Drosophila melanogaster: one gene and its partners. The protein of the gene in region 1 interacts with the protein of each later gene in a pairwise test. Each region holds a gene or a part of one and is shown in the gene's direction. Other genes may lie near its edges. The genes, in order: raskol, esn and RtGEF.

Region 1 (5,168 bases):
AGCTCAGTCAGAAATTGAAATGATTCATCTGTCAACCCAGCTGTGAATCTTCAGATTCGTTGTATCTGTCATCACATTACTGCCCAAGAGGATGAATGGATGGATGGTTGGATGGAAGACGGATGTGACATCATCGAGAATGAGAATTCACAATCATCACTGGATTGGTCGGCCAGTTGGGCAGTTCGTCAGTTCGGCCATTCCGCTTTGAAGTCAATTGTGTGGCGGCATAATTTACAGTTGCACAGTTACGACTGATGACCCGCGCAAAGTAGATAATGCAGTGTTTGGTTGGGAAAAAGTGTCAACGGCACAATCATAATCACAATAATAATGCCTTCGTCTGGGAACCCAAGGGGCCTGGGGCTCTTTATAAAGACCAGAGATCCCAGACACATACGTACATACATACGTGCATACACAGACTCCTGGGTCACCTACAACAATTGCTCAATTTACGAGCGTGCCCCACATTGTCATCGCCGCGACCACTTGCGATGTCTAGCAATTGTATCTGTATCTGTATCTGTATTTCATATTTTGCATTAATTGAAGTGAATTTTACAGCACTAGCTCAAAGGTCAGGCCATGTAAATGGGTCGAGTTTTGCAAAACAAAACACCAAGCAGAAAACACAAAACATCTAGTATTTAGACATCTGGCATTTGCATTTAACACAACTAATCCATTTCAACATCTTTTCCACTACTTACAGGTGAGTACAAGTCGAAGACACTGCCTCGCATACATTTCGATACGGCGTTAAACGATACATCGCTGAATGAAGGTAACAACACAAAGTGCCCGATTGTTCGATTGATTCCCTTTCAGTGTGGTAAATGATTGAGTGAGTGAGTGAGTGAGTGAGTGTGTGACTATGGCGGCAACTTACTCATGCATTATCCGTATCTCAATGTCGTGACATTGTGTCTGTTTCTGTTTCTGATTCCCCGATTTTCATGTGGTGGCGCTTAGAACGCTTTTGCACTGGACTGCCATATAGAGACCTAGAAACCCACAAATGCGAATACTTTTGCCGGCTCAGCGCAATCCGATCTGCTCTGAGCTTATCAGCACTTGCTGGACATTATCACATTCATGGGCGATATTTAACCCTATGCATTTGGATGCCTGGGGGTTCTTAAAACTTGCATTTAATATCAGAAGCTCATGGTGAGAATTATATATCCTTGTTTTCGGGATTCTCAAATAGTAAAATTACTCATTCTATATGTAAATATGCAAGCTGGAATGGTAATGCAAATTTCACGTTAACTATTTCTTTCTTACCAATACAAATTGTACTTTCCTGTCTTGCAAAATCGAAACCAAATGATTATGTGCCACTTAAAGGCAATCAGTCTTAAAACGCTTTATAAATATTTATAAATACCATGCAACTGGGTTAGTTATTAACACCTTTTAGTTTTTTTTGAACAAACAACAAATATTGAATCAGACCGCCGCATAAGTTAATTCCTTCTGCTAAAATCAGCATTTTCAAAAGACTTTGGTTTACTTTCGGTAGCTTCAGGAACTTTAGTATATGATTATTTAAAAGAAAGATACTTGTCATTCATACGCCACTCGCAAAAGAACTTTATAATATTAACTCCCTGCATAAATCGAGGCGTTTTAAGATGATCCACGCAGTAGATTTTACGGTAAAGCTTCGAATTCTACACGTACATATCTACACGAAGTGGCTGTATTCTACACGAGCCAAAAAGTATGCACTATTTCATGGATTAACCATGTTTATTTGCATAACTGCTCAAATGCATGTTGTTATTGAATTTAGGGTAATTCCTTTCCCTATAAATGTAACGGAATTTCGAGAGGCAGGACGTGGCTTATATAACGATCGGCTCGGCCAGGGGTTGAAAGTTGATAAGTAAAGCAGAAAACTCCCTCTCACAACAGTTCATTGTGCCCCTATGCTAATGTAATGCCCATGGAAATGCGAATGGAAATGGTTACTTACGAGCCGCTCGTAAACAAGTCTTCCGTTTTTCGTTGCGGCGAAGGAGGTGAACGTGTCACATAAAACCCCATAGTCACGCACTTCCGCAGTGAACAAAAAACGGGAAGAATGAAAAAAAAAAACACAATAATAAAATAAAATAGAGGTAAAGAGCGAACCAAGCGTTACGACGCTTGGAATGGTTGGGTTGTACGGGGGGGTTGGGGTTCGGTTGGTGTTCCCTTAATTTGTATTATGCCTTGCCCGACTGCCCAACTAGCACCTAACACACATTCATAGACACCCACAGTTGAGGTAGGAAAGTAGGATTACTTAGTGTGCTTCAAAGCGTAGATACATAGATGTCGTATCATACATATGGGCAATAACAACAACTAATAGGAGTTCAATAAAATACTTTTTGTTATTTCAGAAATATATTATAATATATATTAGAAAAATGTAGAAAATTAAAGAATAAGATATAAGATATATAAAAAAAATATAAGATATATCAAAAAAATAAGATATCAGATACATTCTACATTTTAAATTTAGGACACATTCTTATTGAAATTTTGGTATTTTGAAAAAGGCTTATGTTCTTTTTCGCCGCGGTAGCTATCATTTTTACCGCTATTGTGGCGTTGTTGTAGCCCTCTCTCGTTGGTGCTCTCTGCGCATGGGCAGCACCCTCGATGGGCAGCACTGACGATCGTCGACTGCTGTTTTTTTTGTCTTTCGCATTCGAGATCAGCGACTGTGTGAAAAACGTTGTATATTGACATTAAAAACACAAAGAACCGTGCGTTCAATTAGAGCACAATTGTGAAAAGGGATTACTGCCACGTAGAACACGATCATTGCTTGAAAATCGATTAATCGATAGCGACAAAAACGCCGAAAAGTATCGCCGCAGCCATAACATCGCTGCGCGCTGCGCAAATGTTTTGTACATCGCTAGATCAGATCGATTTTAGAGTTCGGGTGGAGTGGACGGAACGGAGCGGCGACGGCGGTTGTTTAAATCGCCCGTTTATTATTGTTTTAGTTTCGCTCTCGCGTGCGTCGGTTTTTACTATGTTATTGCACTTGATTATATTCTGCGTGCATTAAAAATAATACCTCCTTTGCCTTGTTGCTGAGCTACATCTCTAATTTTTTTTAATAATTGTTAAAGCTAGTGCTGTTTTTGTTAAAGTGTTTTATCCCCTAAGTCCAACAACAACAACAACAACAACCGAAAACGCATTCCTGCACACGAAGGAGAAAAAAGATGCGTGTGCGTGTGTATTAGTGCAGTCTCTCTGCGCTGCGTTTGTGTGTGTGTGTGTATGCTGCAACTGGAAACCAAAATTAACCAACAACAACAACGTTAAACCAAGAGTAGTACAAAAAGTAAAGATAAATAATGAAAAACTTAACCAAGCGACAATGTGATGCGAAAAGGCGATAAAATAACAGCAAAAACAAAGCGCGAAGAGAAAGAGAAAAAACGCGGAAATGCAGTTGAGCGCATAATTTTTATAAGCCAAGCGACAAACGCACACTGCAAGAACAGCAACAAAAATAACTCAAAGGCGAAGCGAGAGGGGAAGTAAATAAAATTCAAGAAGTAAAAACAGAAGCATCAGCAAAAAAGAGAAAGAAGTAGAAGTACTAGAAGAAGAAGCAGCAGCAGCAGCAGCAGCAGCAGCGTCAACAAACACAAATACAAAATATACCTGCGTGTGCTCCCTCTCTCTGTCTCTTTCTCCACCTCTCTCACTCTGCGAATGTGTGTGTGTGTGCCATGCTCTCGAAACTACACTGAGCGAAAAATAACAAAATGTTGCAAGCCGCTAGCAGCACAACAACAGCACCAGTGGGAAATACAGCAGACACAGGAAACAGTGAAAGCCCGATAATAGCGACGCCGGAGGAGAAATCCCAAAGACGACGCTCCACATTCTATGTACCATTGGTAATAGAAGACGAAGAGGAGACCAAAAAGGATACGCCCGCAGATCATCTGGTCCAAAAGTCCTCGAGCAATACGAGCCTAAGTAGCAATAGCAATTCCCTAACGAATTCCGAAACAAAATCATCGAAAAGCTATAGTCTGCGCAAATCGAGTTCGGTGAAAAGCGGCGTGGCCAAGGTTAGTGCTCTCTTCGAGCGGAAAACTCCATCGAAAATGTCGCCACCTTGCGGCTTCAATTGGAGCATCAGTGGCAGCGAAAATACGGCCCAATACTCCGATACCGATGATGATGAGGAGAACTCCACGGAGGCACGTCATCGCGAACAGCTGCTCAAGACCCTGCCCAGCGGTAATAATAATTCCACCACCGCATCCCCATCGAAACTGAAACGATATGGCATCGTACTGAACGTCATCAGTTTGAATGGCAGCGATAACGAGCAGTCCTCGTTGGGTAGTAATGGTAGCAGCATGCCATCCATGCCATCAATGCCAAACGGCCAGAACATACCAAATGCGGCTGCGCCCAGGACTCATTTCAATGAGGAGAACGACATTGTCCTGGCCACGCCCCCGCCGCCCAAACAGCAGGCACTATCCGCCGCTCATGAGTCTAACGACTACGATGATGACTCAGAAATAAGTCGCATGCAGACGAACACCTCGACGCCCATAAAGCTAATGAAATCGCGATCGCGAACCAATATACTAGCCGTACCGCTGCCATCGGTGGAGCGTGGTTTGGCCACAACAAATACGACGCCCAATAATAATAATATCAATGGTAATAGTAATGGTAGTACCAGCAATACGACCACTACGACAACGACGACGACGTTGATTACGCTTCGTGCAAAATCGAAGACCCTGCCGCAAAATCTATCGCCCTCAGTTGTTTTACGCGAGGCAGCCGCACTGGATGAGCTCGAGAAGAAGCGGGAGAAGTATCAGGAGAAGCAGGAGAAGCGGGAAAAGCTGCAGGAGAAACAGCGTCAGCTGTTCGGCGGCAGTACGGCCAGTCAGATAGCGGGCTCTTCGCCCTACAAACTGCAGAACAGCTGTTCGGCCACCTCGATACTAACGCACAGTTTTCCGCCGAAGAACCTTTTTCTACTTAAGTCCACGCCCAAACTGTCAACGGATATAGCCGCGGCCACGCCCCCAAATACATCGGCAATCTGTTCGCCGCCCAAGAAATCGCTGAGCTTCATTCGACGTGCCCACTCCACCAAGGTGGCACGC
Region 2 (5,168 bases), on another chromosome or scaffold:
ATGCAAATAGGCGAAAATGCTATTTGAATTTAGTAGAAGAGAATTATGATAACGCGATTGTCAACGGCAACCCTGATTTTATTTTATTTCCTTATATTTTTGTTACCATTTTCCCGTTGTCTTTGCCGCTGAGATACAGTTATGATTATGACAGGCACCATGTTGTTTGGGGCAAGTGAAAAAAATATTAATAAAACACTACACAGCCACCCCTCCACAGCTACACACCCCCCACCCCACGCGACACGTGCGACAAGCCGCACAACAGTCGGTGTTATTGCCCCGTTGCTGCCTTTTTTACAAAGTGTAAATTGTTTTAATACTTTTTAGTGCCACGCAGCGCCATCTTGTGTCGCGTAGTGGCGGCAGCTGCGCCAAACAGCCACGCCCCTCCTCCGACCATCGCCCACCGCCCACCGCCCGGGGCAACTTTTGACTTACACGTGTACGTTGCACGTTCAAATCTCAACTTTTACGACCTCTGCAGGATATTATCGTCGTTGTTTTACTAGCGTCACTTTCGGGCTTGTTGTTTTTTGCGCTCCTGCTGCAATGACGTTGACTTTAACCTGTTGGCCATGGCCAAAGTGGGAAAAGGGCTACACTTGGAAAAATTATCCCCACTTTTCACTTCTTTACAGTATTCAGTCAGGAGTATTCATATTGTCATTTAAATCAAGCAGAACATCCTTCTTTAAGATGTGGTCGGGAAATGTAGTGAATCTAATTCAGAAGTTAGTTTTATAGTTGAATGGAGCTTAAAGGCATTGTCTATCGACCATACAACCAATGATTGATTACTAACGATAATGATAATACAATCACCTTGAGCATCTAATGTTCTCAGTGCACCAATTTTCACCTGCTGCTGGCATCTGACAACTGCTTTCGCTGACATTTCTCCAGTTGGAGACCGTGTGTCTCGGTTTTAATCAAAATTGTTTCATGAATTGTTCAGTTGTTCCAACTGTCAAATAAAGTTTTGACGCCCCTCTTTTCGGAAAACTCCGGGCAATTAAAATACTTTTGGCAGTCACTTGCTTATTTCGTTTGCCTTCAGCCGCTTCATGTTGGCTGTTCTCTTCTGGCCTGGTCCTCAATTAGTTGGGCCATTTCGCCCATCACTCTTTGAGTGTCGAAAGAGAGTGCAAATATTTAACGTTAAATGGGGAAATTAATTTATTTACTTTCGTCTTTCATTGCAGTTGGTGAAACAATTTGTTAAAACGCAAACTTCGCAATGGCAATTCGTTTGGGAGAGTTTTGAAGGTAAGTTAAAAATTCAATTGAATCCTTTAGCTTGTAGTAAAGGTCACTAATTTTAAATTATTTCTGGTTGTTAGTAGCCAGAGAAGAAAGTATAATTGCAAAGTGTGAGAAGTTAGCGGCTCTAATTAATTCATCGAGAGAGACACTTTATATAGCGACTCAAAATAATTCAACGAAAGACACATTTTATATTGTGCAAATAATTTTCATAGCATTTTTATATCCGAGATAGTTAGTGGAATGCCTCGGAAGTGAAACTGGTCTTTGATCTATTAAGTCGATTATCAAAATCACCACATAACTTTAAACTAAAAACCATTTTGAAGAATACTTATCCCAAATATCAACAGGACATAATTGCACTGGCTAGTAAATTCTAGCTCAGCCTCAATTGCAATGAATCAGTAGCTGCGTGTTAATTGAATAATATGTGAAATCGGTGTCGACTCCATTACCGTCCGTGTGCTGCCACAAGAAGAGAGTCCCGTGCAGCATAGGGAAGCCACAAACCCTAATTTCCAATGATTGGTTTGTTCCCTCGTCCACGTTCCATCCGCCCGTCTTCATTTCCATTCCGGGGCAAACGGATGGATTTCATGAGAGGGGCCTTACCCGATTACCACATTTTCACCAAGCCCGCAGTCTAATGACCACCTATGAGTGCGCTGCTAATGTGGTAACACAACGCCCAAGGGACGCTGGCCGTGGTCTTCCCTTGTTGGCCGTGATTGAAATGGGTCAATCGCTAAACGGCCTGAAATGTGTCAAATGGCCCGAAGACAGCTGCATCAACCAGTTGCAGCTACCAGAATCTGCCTCTTCAATAGCTGGCTAATAAACGCCACCACATTCTGGCTCGAATCCGAAGCACTCAACCGAAAGCCACTCGACTCACCTGTGCCACCTGTTTTACCTGCACTTGCTTGGGCCACAAGAGCGAGCGAGAGATATATAGATGAGAGAAAGAGAGCTGTGGTGAGTTGGCTGGATCGTCTTGGTGGTGAGTTTGACCTGCACCAACCTGGCCAAAAGCCGCCTTTCGGCCAACAGCTACTTTCTACAATCTTCAGTTGTTTGAGCAGCCCCAAAGCGAGCGGTGCGAGTGCTGTTCTTTCGCGAACCAGGAATTCAGATAGAATCCCAGCCGATACGTATCAATCCGATCGCGAGTGCACGTAATTGGAGCAAGCGGATCGCCCGTTAATTGCTGGCGACGGTAATTGCAGGCCGCCGCATACCTGCCAACTGCTTAAGGTGTTCCCCGTTCGTTAATGTGTCAATTGATTGATTGGCCCGCGACCCGTGATTGACGTGCGTTCCACTCACCGCGATGCTCTCGAAGAAGCGCTGGTGGAAGATCCGGCTGCCGCAGGTGGGCAAGCAGGATCAGTCGAGGAACTACCGGGACATCGTCAACCTGAGCGAGTGCTCCTCAGTGCTGGCCAACACGGCCACCACGATTAGCGACAGCTCCACCACCACCGCCAGCAGCGGCAGTCCCACCCGCCACCGGAGCTGCGACAGTCTCTCCAAGAGCTCCCAGGCGGAGGCGGGCAAGCTGTTCCCCCGGAACATGCCCAGCATACGGCGGAGTCGCCGACGGGCTGTGTCCGCGGAAAGGGAGCGCCTGGCCAGCCGGGAGCGGCTGGAGGAGCAGGTTCAGCCGCCGAAAATGCCGCAGATAGGAGCTGGACAGCAGTCCCGGCTATCGACGGTGACCAAACTGACGCCCAGGAAGCAGAGTAGCAAGTCCACGTGCTCCAAACATCGGGGCAACGCCCCTGCGAAGTGCATCATCAAGTCGGCAGTGCGAACCAAGACCAAGCCAAAGGCCACCACGATCACCCTAGCACCCTACGAAATAGCGCTGGAGCTGCCCAACGAATCCCCTGCACCCACTTTGGCCATGGCCGTGGCCCAATCCTCCGGCTGCGTGCAGAGGAAGCTGAGCAGCGAGGATCAGTTCCACTCCTCGGGAATCTCCTGCAACGGGGAGACCGACGATGACGTGGAGGTGGCCATGCTGACCGGCAGCTTAACGCCCTCCCAGATAGCAAGGATCCAGGGGCAGCAGATCCTCCGATATGACGATCTGAGGAACCTGAACCGCTGCCGCAACAGGAACGCCGTTTGGCTAAATCCCAAGGATACGGAGCAGCTCCTCGAGGTGGACAAGAGCAGGAGGAAGGCCAACTGCTACTTCAACCAGGCCATTGCCGACGATATCCAGCTCAGCGATATTGAAGAACAATTGGCCAGATTTGATGGCCACTCAAAGAGGCCGCCACCGCCGGCAGCCACAGCACCCAAAATGTGAGTTTCCACCGGCTATCTCTAATGGCCATAACTCTCGGCGATAAGTGGGCGAGGGAAAGCGGAGTTGTCGGCGGGAATGTGGCCAACTAATTTGAAATCCATTTGATGAGCTTTGCATTTCCCAATTTAAGTGACTATAAAACGGGCGTCGCAGTAGAGAGTTTACGGCCCAATTTGATGGCTGCTTAATAGCTTCATATGAGCCGTGCTCCGTGCTCCGAGTTGAGGAGCAGTTGGGTTCTGGAGGATTCTATTCCTAACCACTGGAATCATACTTTATGGTTCTTCAAATTAAACTGGCTATTCGAAGTTATAGGCAAGGCAGATCGCATTAAAATGGGCTGGCACACTGACAGCTTTATAGATTTCCGACTTACGTTGAGTTAATACTCGTTATATTGAAAATGGCCGCTTTCGTGTTTGGTAATTTAATACCTTTTAGCTGCCGTTGAAAATGTGGGTCTGCAACTTTCTACCAATGTTGTTTTTACAACTATTGAAAGAGAAGTACGAAGGCCAAACAATTTACCGAATTTACCGACTACAATTGCAATTGTTTAAAAGGTAATAAACCAATGGACACGATTGTTGTTTTTGGCCCTTGGGTTTATAGCCCATTTGAAGTTTGCAATGTTAATATGGAATTAATCCCGTGATCTTTTTTTCTGTTGTCATTTTTGTCACCATCGCCATTTCTTTCCCTTATTAGATTTCATATTGTTTAGGATAAATTAATTTCTTCAGAACTTCTTAAGGAATCCAGAACGATAAGGCATACCTCTTTGGCGGCTCATAAATAGAGCGGAGTTTATCATTTTCACCTGATCAACAGCCGTTGTTGGCTACGCGTATCAGTTTCAATTGCGCTGAGAGTACAAATCCTACAGGTCACCCTCGAATAATGGCACAAATAATCCGCCATAAGAGGCTCTGTCAGCTGGAGGCGACTTTGTGGGCTCGCTAAGAAGGTGTTATTAATGCCCGACTATTTGCAAAACTGGCACCGGAAAGTTATTTATCAACTTTCTGGCCAGCACGTGCTCCTTCCTTCGCCTCGCTGTCGAGTTTTGTTAACTGCAAAATGAATTGCATGCAGCTAAGTGGCAACAGCAGCGGTTAAACGAGGCTGGCAGAACTTCGGGTCCACTGAGCCCATCCTCACGAGGTCCTTCTCCTCCGATCGCCCGTCACCTTGTGTTTGCATCCTGCAGCCTCATAAATTCCATCCGACGACTTCATAAATTGAGTTCTTTTTGCCGCCTGACTGAGTGCCCTTCATCGAAAAGGTATTCTGTATCTTTCAGATCTTTCAGATCTTTCAGGTCCTCGGCATCTTTGCCATTTCTGCCATCTCTTCCATCTTTTGTATTCTCTGCATTCCGCATGCAGACTTCATTTGCATGGACTTCTGTTCATAAATCTACGCAAACTGTTAATTAGATTTTGTTTTGGGTGAAGCCATAAAATATTGGTGGAAGGAGTGCGCCATCAATTTCCCTTAAACAGAACTTTGTAATTTGAGACGCACATCCACCTCCAGTTCCACCTCCAGTTCCACATCCATATGCACATCCTCTCGAGCC
Region 3 (5,168 bases), on another chromosome or scaffold:
TTAGACACATGACAAAATCCTATTTACGTTAAAAACAGTTTCAATCGTTTAGTCCCAACAAAGGACATTTAAAGCTTAAAGCTCAAGAATACATTTTATGTAATGACTCCTGTACTTTCGGCACAACTGTTGTTCAACTTGCTGCTGCTCGTGCAATAGTAATTTGTTGCCGGTTTCTGGAGTTCAGAGGTCCGCCTGCATAATCCATTGGGTCAATAGCAGGGCTCCTCGTGGGGCATCCGTTCCAGCTCCTCCCGAAAAGCGTTTGTTTGCTAGCACTCGCTGCGAAAGTAAAATGCACTGCCGGACGACGACGGAGGCACGTTCTGCCTGCCGCTGCCTGCCGCATGCCACCTGCCTCCCGGCCCCAAACTCCCCCATTGGATTCCCAGAACCAACAAGCATCATTACCCGAACAATTTTGAACCGCTGCCAAGAGAATTTCCTATGAAAGGTGGTGGCAAGCTGAATGCAAATTCATGCTTTTCTTTACTCTCACATGATCTTGGTTTCGGCCACCAGGTCAAAAGCAGTTTGCAAAATAAATAGCTACCCTAGAAAATATTATTTAAATCAAATTGAATTATTTCATGGTTTAAAAAGTTATATTTGTTTGTATATATTTATGTGGGGAATGTGAAAAAGTCTAGGGTAAGATCTCGTCGAACCACTTGGCTCTTTGCGCCCTATGGTTGTTATTCTTACGCTTTAATGAAAGCATGTTGGCAATATCTGTATGTGGGCCTGTGATTTCCCAAAACAAACATTGGCCGTCAAATCATGCGCCTGATTTTCACTCGTGTCTGCTGGGAAACCGCGTTTCTTCATATTTCCGCTGCTGACCTCGTTCTTGGTGTGTTGGTGTCGAGAACAGCGGATCCCCACAAGCTATTGGAACTCCCACTCGCTCACCTCTTCGGTGTGCCCACAGCCACCGATGACTTCCTCCGCCACGAAGTATCTATAAATACGGCGAGCGACGCAATCAAACTATATTACGTCCATATATCTGAGGAAATGCATCTCAAGTGGCGGCTGTGCAGCCTGTAAATCTCGGTATTGACACATTGAAGAGGCCTTATTGAGTGCAGTTCGGCTGAGCTAGTAGGGATAGCGATTCGGATCCGGTCCCGACCAGGCAGAACTGCATAAATTTGGTTTGTCTTTGGCTGACTTTGTTTGTCTTTGCCGCTGACTTTGCCAAGCAAAACAATCCACTCGCCTTTCTTTTACATCTCTCGTCTTTGTTGTTTACGTTCCCCAGTGTCCCACGAAAATAAACATTCGGTGATTTGATTTGGGGTGCTCCCCTCCGATGGATGCGACGTTTTACTCGCCAAATTGCGCATTTCCGGAAGCGGCAGGGATATTCATTTGAATTTCGCCTTCGGCGACGGATCGTTAATAACCGAAAGAGTTGTCTCTTATACTCAGAGAGCGTGGGCCCGGTGTATCTGTATCTGAAACTTGTATCTGTATCTGTATCTGGATATGGGGCCGCATAGCCGATCCGCGCGGCGCCATGTGCAAGTTTAATGAATTAATTAAAATTTGGTTCCGAGAGCTTCAATGGGGTATGTATGCATCTTTGTATGTGCCCACATATCTGCGTGTGTGCCGCTCGGTATCTGCATTTATGCATCTGCTCATCTGACCTCCGATGCATCGTTTGGAGCACCACCACCTACGGAAATTTGATTGTGCCCGGCCATGGACTTAAAGTGATTTCAGGGTTAAACGAAGCGAAGGAAAGTGACATACATTCGGCTTGGGTTTGGCGCTGCACTTATAAAGCATATTTTTTGCCGACATTCTGATCTCGGCAGATTTGAATACGAATATTCTGTGGAAAAAATATTTAGTTCTTGGTCACTCTAGCTCAAAAATTCTCCGTCGGTCTATAAGCTTCAACATCTTTATTCAGTAGAGTTTACAGTTCCAGCCTCCTTGTTTGTCTCAGAATGAAAGTCTTTGGGTTAAATTTGATTTATATTCTATCTTAAATTCTAAAAATATGACGAATTTAACATTTCCTGAGGCCATAATCCCATTAAAACCACAATGTGTGTCGCACGATTCTAAATTTTAGATTATACAAGTCTACACATTCCATAAACGTTTCCTATGATTCACGGGCATATATTGTATGATCAACAGGAAACTGAGCGGAACAGGTGAATTTTTCTGAAATAATTCTAAAATGCTTGAATATGAAGAAGTTTTCGATTGATGACTGAATCCACAAACATGGAAGATCTCACATCCAATAGGCAACCCACATATATTTTGGCACAAATATTTTTATGTGGTTTTTTTGAATAGACAATACAAAAGCACAGCGAGTGTCGCTTATTTCTCAATGAAATACAATTAAGATCCTCATTTTGGAAACGCAGATGAAAAGGTTGTCCCCGGATTCATATTTTTTGTCACATCTCTGTTGATTTTTCATGAAAATATGCGATGTGTCCGGTCGAAAACGCTCGCGTACATGTGAAAATATATTCGAATCTCCTGCGATCCGACGAGACTCTCAGAAAATGACTGCGAGAGTGGCACTTTCGGTTGCCGTGGAAAATTCGTCTGCCATATGTCGCCAGCTTTTCGGTATTTTCCGCTTTTCTCGGCAGTTTCGCTGAAGCAATGAACGCGTGCGGTGCATCGTCTGAGAGCAGAAAAACGGCGAAAAACGTCAAATTGTCGTACCACAATTTATTGTCGAAAAAGTATATATCACCCATCTATACAAAAGAGTAGCGGGTATATGTATTCGAGTGCCTAGATGGCGAAAAAGTGACATTTTAAGAAATTTTCATGCGTTTGTGCAACCAAAACGTGACCTTGCCTTAGGGAAATATTCTCATCAGCCTATAAATCTTGACAATCTCATGAGAGCGGTAATAATTCGTGAAAAACTACACGTTCCAGTTTGGCATATAGAACTTGCGATCCGCCAATATGTACACTTTCGTCTGTTTTTTATTTTTAGTATTCTAGAAAACTATTTGGGCAAAATAAACCAAGTTGTTCATATTTTTGCGTTTACTCATTGCGGCAATAGCAAACAAATGTGATGCATCTATTTTTAGAAAATATATCACTTTTTAACATTTTCAGTCCAGAATTGAATTTTTGCATAAACATAGGAATTCCTATATTAATAAAAGCACACGTCGCGCTGCCAATTTTAAATAGTACCAACGAATAGACTAGGCTAAAGACTTTTATAAACGACTTTAAAAATAATGACATCCACTAACTAGCCCCCTAGTGCCACTCATACAAGAGACCATTTCAATTAAGCTTTGGAATATTGGGGGTTTTTGTGAGTAACAATGTCGTAATATAATTTTCGAGGCATTCGAAAATATTGCGATTTTACTTCTTTCTATAGATATCTGATGTATAGAGTGCACTTGCCTTTAGAATCCAATGTGCCAATCCCATTTCCGTCAACGAAAGTGTTTAACGATTGAATGAAATGTTGATCTCTTAAAGAGTTGTTCGAACAAACCAAATAAAAAAGGTCGTAAATATTTTTAGACGCGACGTGGCCGTTGTTTATGATTTATATGTTGGCCTGTCCTGTCCGGCTATTCAAATTGTTTTTATGGCCCGAAAAGTTTTTCTTTCACAATACGCGCGAGTGATTTTTACCCAATTTTTTAATGGATCCTCGCAGCTTGTGTGACCTTGGCCATCGTGTAGCGCACGAGTTTTCCAGACACTTGCAGTAAACTAGGAAAGAAAAGCCGGAGGGGAGTCGCCGGAAAAGTGTCAAGAAACTTGCGCACGCGTTTCTCGACAGATGTTTTCAAAATGTTTTCTTCTTTGGGGCCATAATTATTGCTCGGCTAATTCCAAGAGGCTGAGGAATGCCGAGCGATCGACGATGATGTAGCTCATCGCTGCAATAATGCGTAGGTGCTGTATATAACGAGCGATATGCTCACATATGCTTTTTCATTGAGCAAATTGCCTGGCTGATGTTTCAAGTTCAATACCCATCGCCTCGTTTCAGTTGAATCAATCTAGTGCGCACTCGGATCAGCCCTGAACAATCCGATAATGGATCAGCCACTGGTGGTGCAGGCGGAGTACTCCTTCATGGGCAGCAATAACGACGAGCTGTGCTTCCAGAAGGGCGATGTCATCACGGTTACCCAGCGCGAGGATGGTGGCTGGTGGGAGGGAACGCTGAACGATAAGACTGGCTGGTTTCCCAGCAACTATGTGAATGAGTGCAAGGTGCAGCTGCCTCTAACGGAGACCATAAGGCCGCCGGAGGAGATCCAGGAGTATCGGTCTGTGGTGCTCAAGGATCTGCTTGACTCGGAGCGCGCCCATGTGGCCGAGCTGCAGGGTCTGCTCGAGAATTTCTTGGAGCCCATGCAACAGACGCAAATGTAAGTTCTCTATTCTCTGACATAATTTGAATATAATCTAAAAGGGCTTCTTCTACAGACTCAGTCAGGATGAGTACGCCCAGCTGATGTGTAACTTTGTAGAGATTGTGCGTACGCACGAGGATTTGCTTATCCAGATCGAGGAGTGCAACGATCGAGTGGGAAAACTATTTCTCACCAGCGCCCCCTTGATGAAGAAGGTGCACCAGGCGTACTGCGCTGCCCATCCAAAGGCCATTGTCATACTGGATAAGTACAAGTATGTGCTCCTCGCTTTATATACATATATTGTGGTGTTCAATTGTTAATAAATATAAATTTTTTTCTATTCCAAAAGGGACGAGCTGGAAAAGTATATGGAACGACAGGGCGCAGCCACTCCTGGATTACTTGTGCTCACGACGGGTCTATCAAAGCCCTTCCGGCGACTGGACAAATACTCGGCCATGCTGCAGGAGCTGGAGCGGCATATGGAGAGCAGTCATCCGGATCGCGGCGACACCCAGCGGAGTGTTGCCGTGTACAAAGACATAGCTGCCACCTGCTCGGCCACCCGTCGCCAAAAGGAGCTGGAGCTGCAAGTGCTCACGGGGCCAGTGCGTGGATGGCAGGGCCAAGAGCTGAGCACCCTCGGGGACATCATCCACATGGGCAGCGTTGCAGTTGGAGCTGATCATCGCGACCGATACTTTGTGCTCTTCCCTCAAACATTGCTATTCCTTAGCGTTAGTCAGCGGATGAGTGCATTCATCTATGAGGTGG

The links.
Region 2: the proteins of raskol (region 1) and esn interact in a two-hybrid assay, tested with the Drosophila melanogaster proteins (one large-scale study listed by BioGRID).
Region 3: the proteins of raskol (region 1) and RtGEF interact in a two-hybrid assay, tested with the Drosophila melanogaster proteins (one large-scale study listed by BioGRID).

Annotation. Positions count from the first base shown.
Region 1 is NC_004354.4:17,735,483-17,740,650, forward strand, and holds the start of raskol (raskol), read left to right. Parts: upstream 1-2,930; 5' UTR 2,931-3,791; coding exon 3,792-5,168. UniProt on the Drosophila melanogaster protein: GTPase-activating protein, which acts as a negative regulator for some members of the Ras family. Probably decreases their signaling activity by stimulating their intrinsic GTPase activity, thereby lowering the levels of the GTP-bound active form.
Region 2 is NT_033778.4:7,104,343-7,109,510, forward strand, and holds the start of esn (espinas), read left to right. Parts: upstream 1-2,337; 5' UTR 2,338-2,599; coding exon 2,600-3,582; intron 3,583-5,168.
Region 3 is NT_033779.5:20,351,342-20,356,509, forward strand, and holds the start of RtGEF (Rho-type guanine nucleotide exchange factor), read left to right. Parts: upstream 1-2,625; 5' UTR 2,626-2,726; intron 2,727-4,021; 5' UTR 4,022-4,068; coding exon 4,069-4,406; intron 4,407-4,464; coding exon 4,465-4,665; intron 4,666-4,743; coding exon 4,744-5,164; intron 5,165-5,168.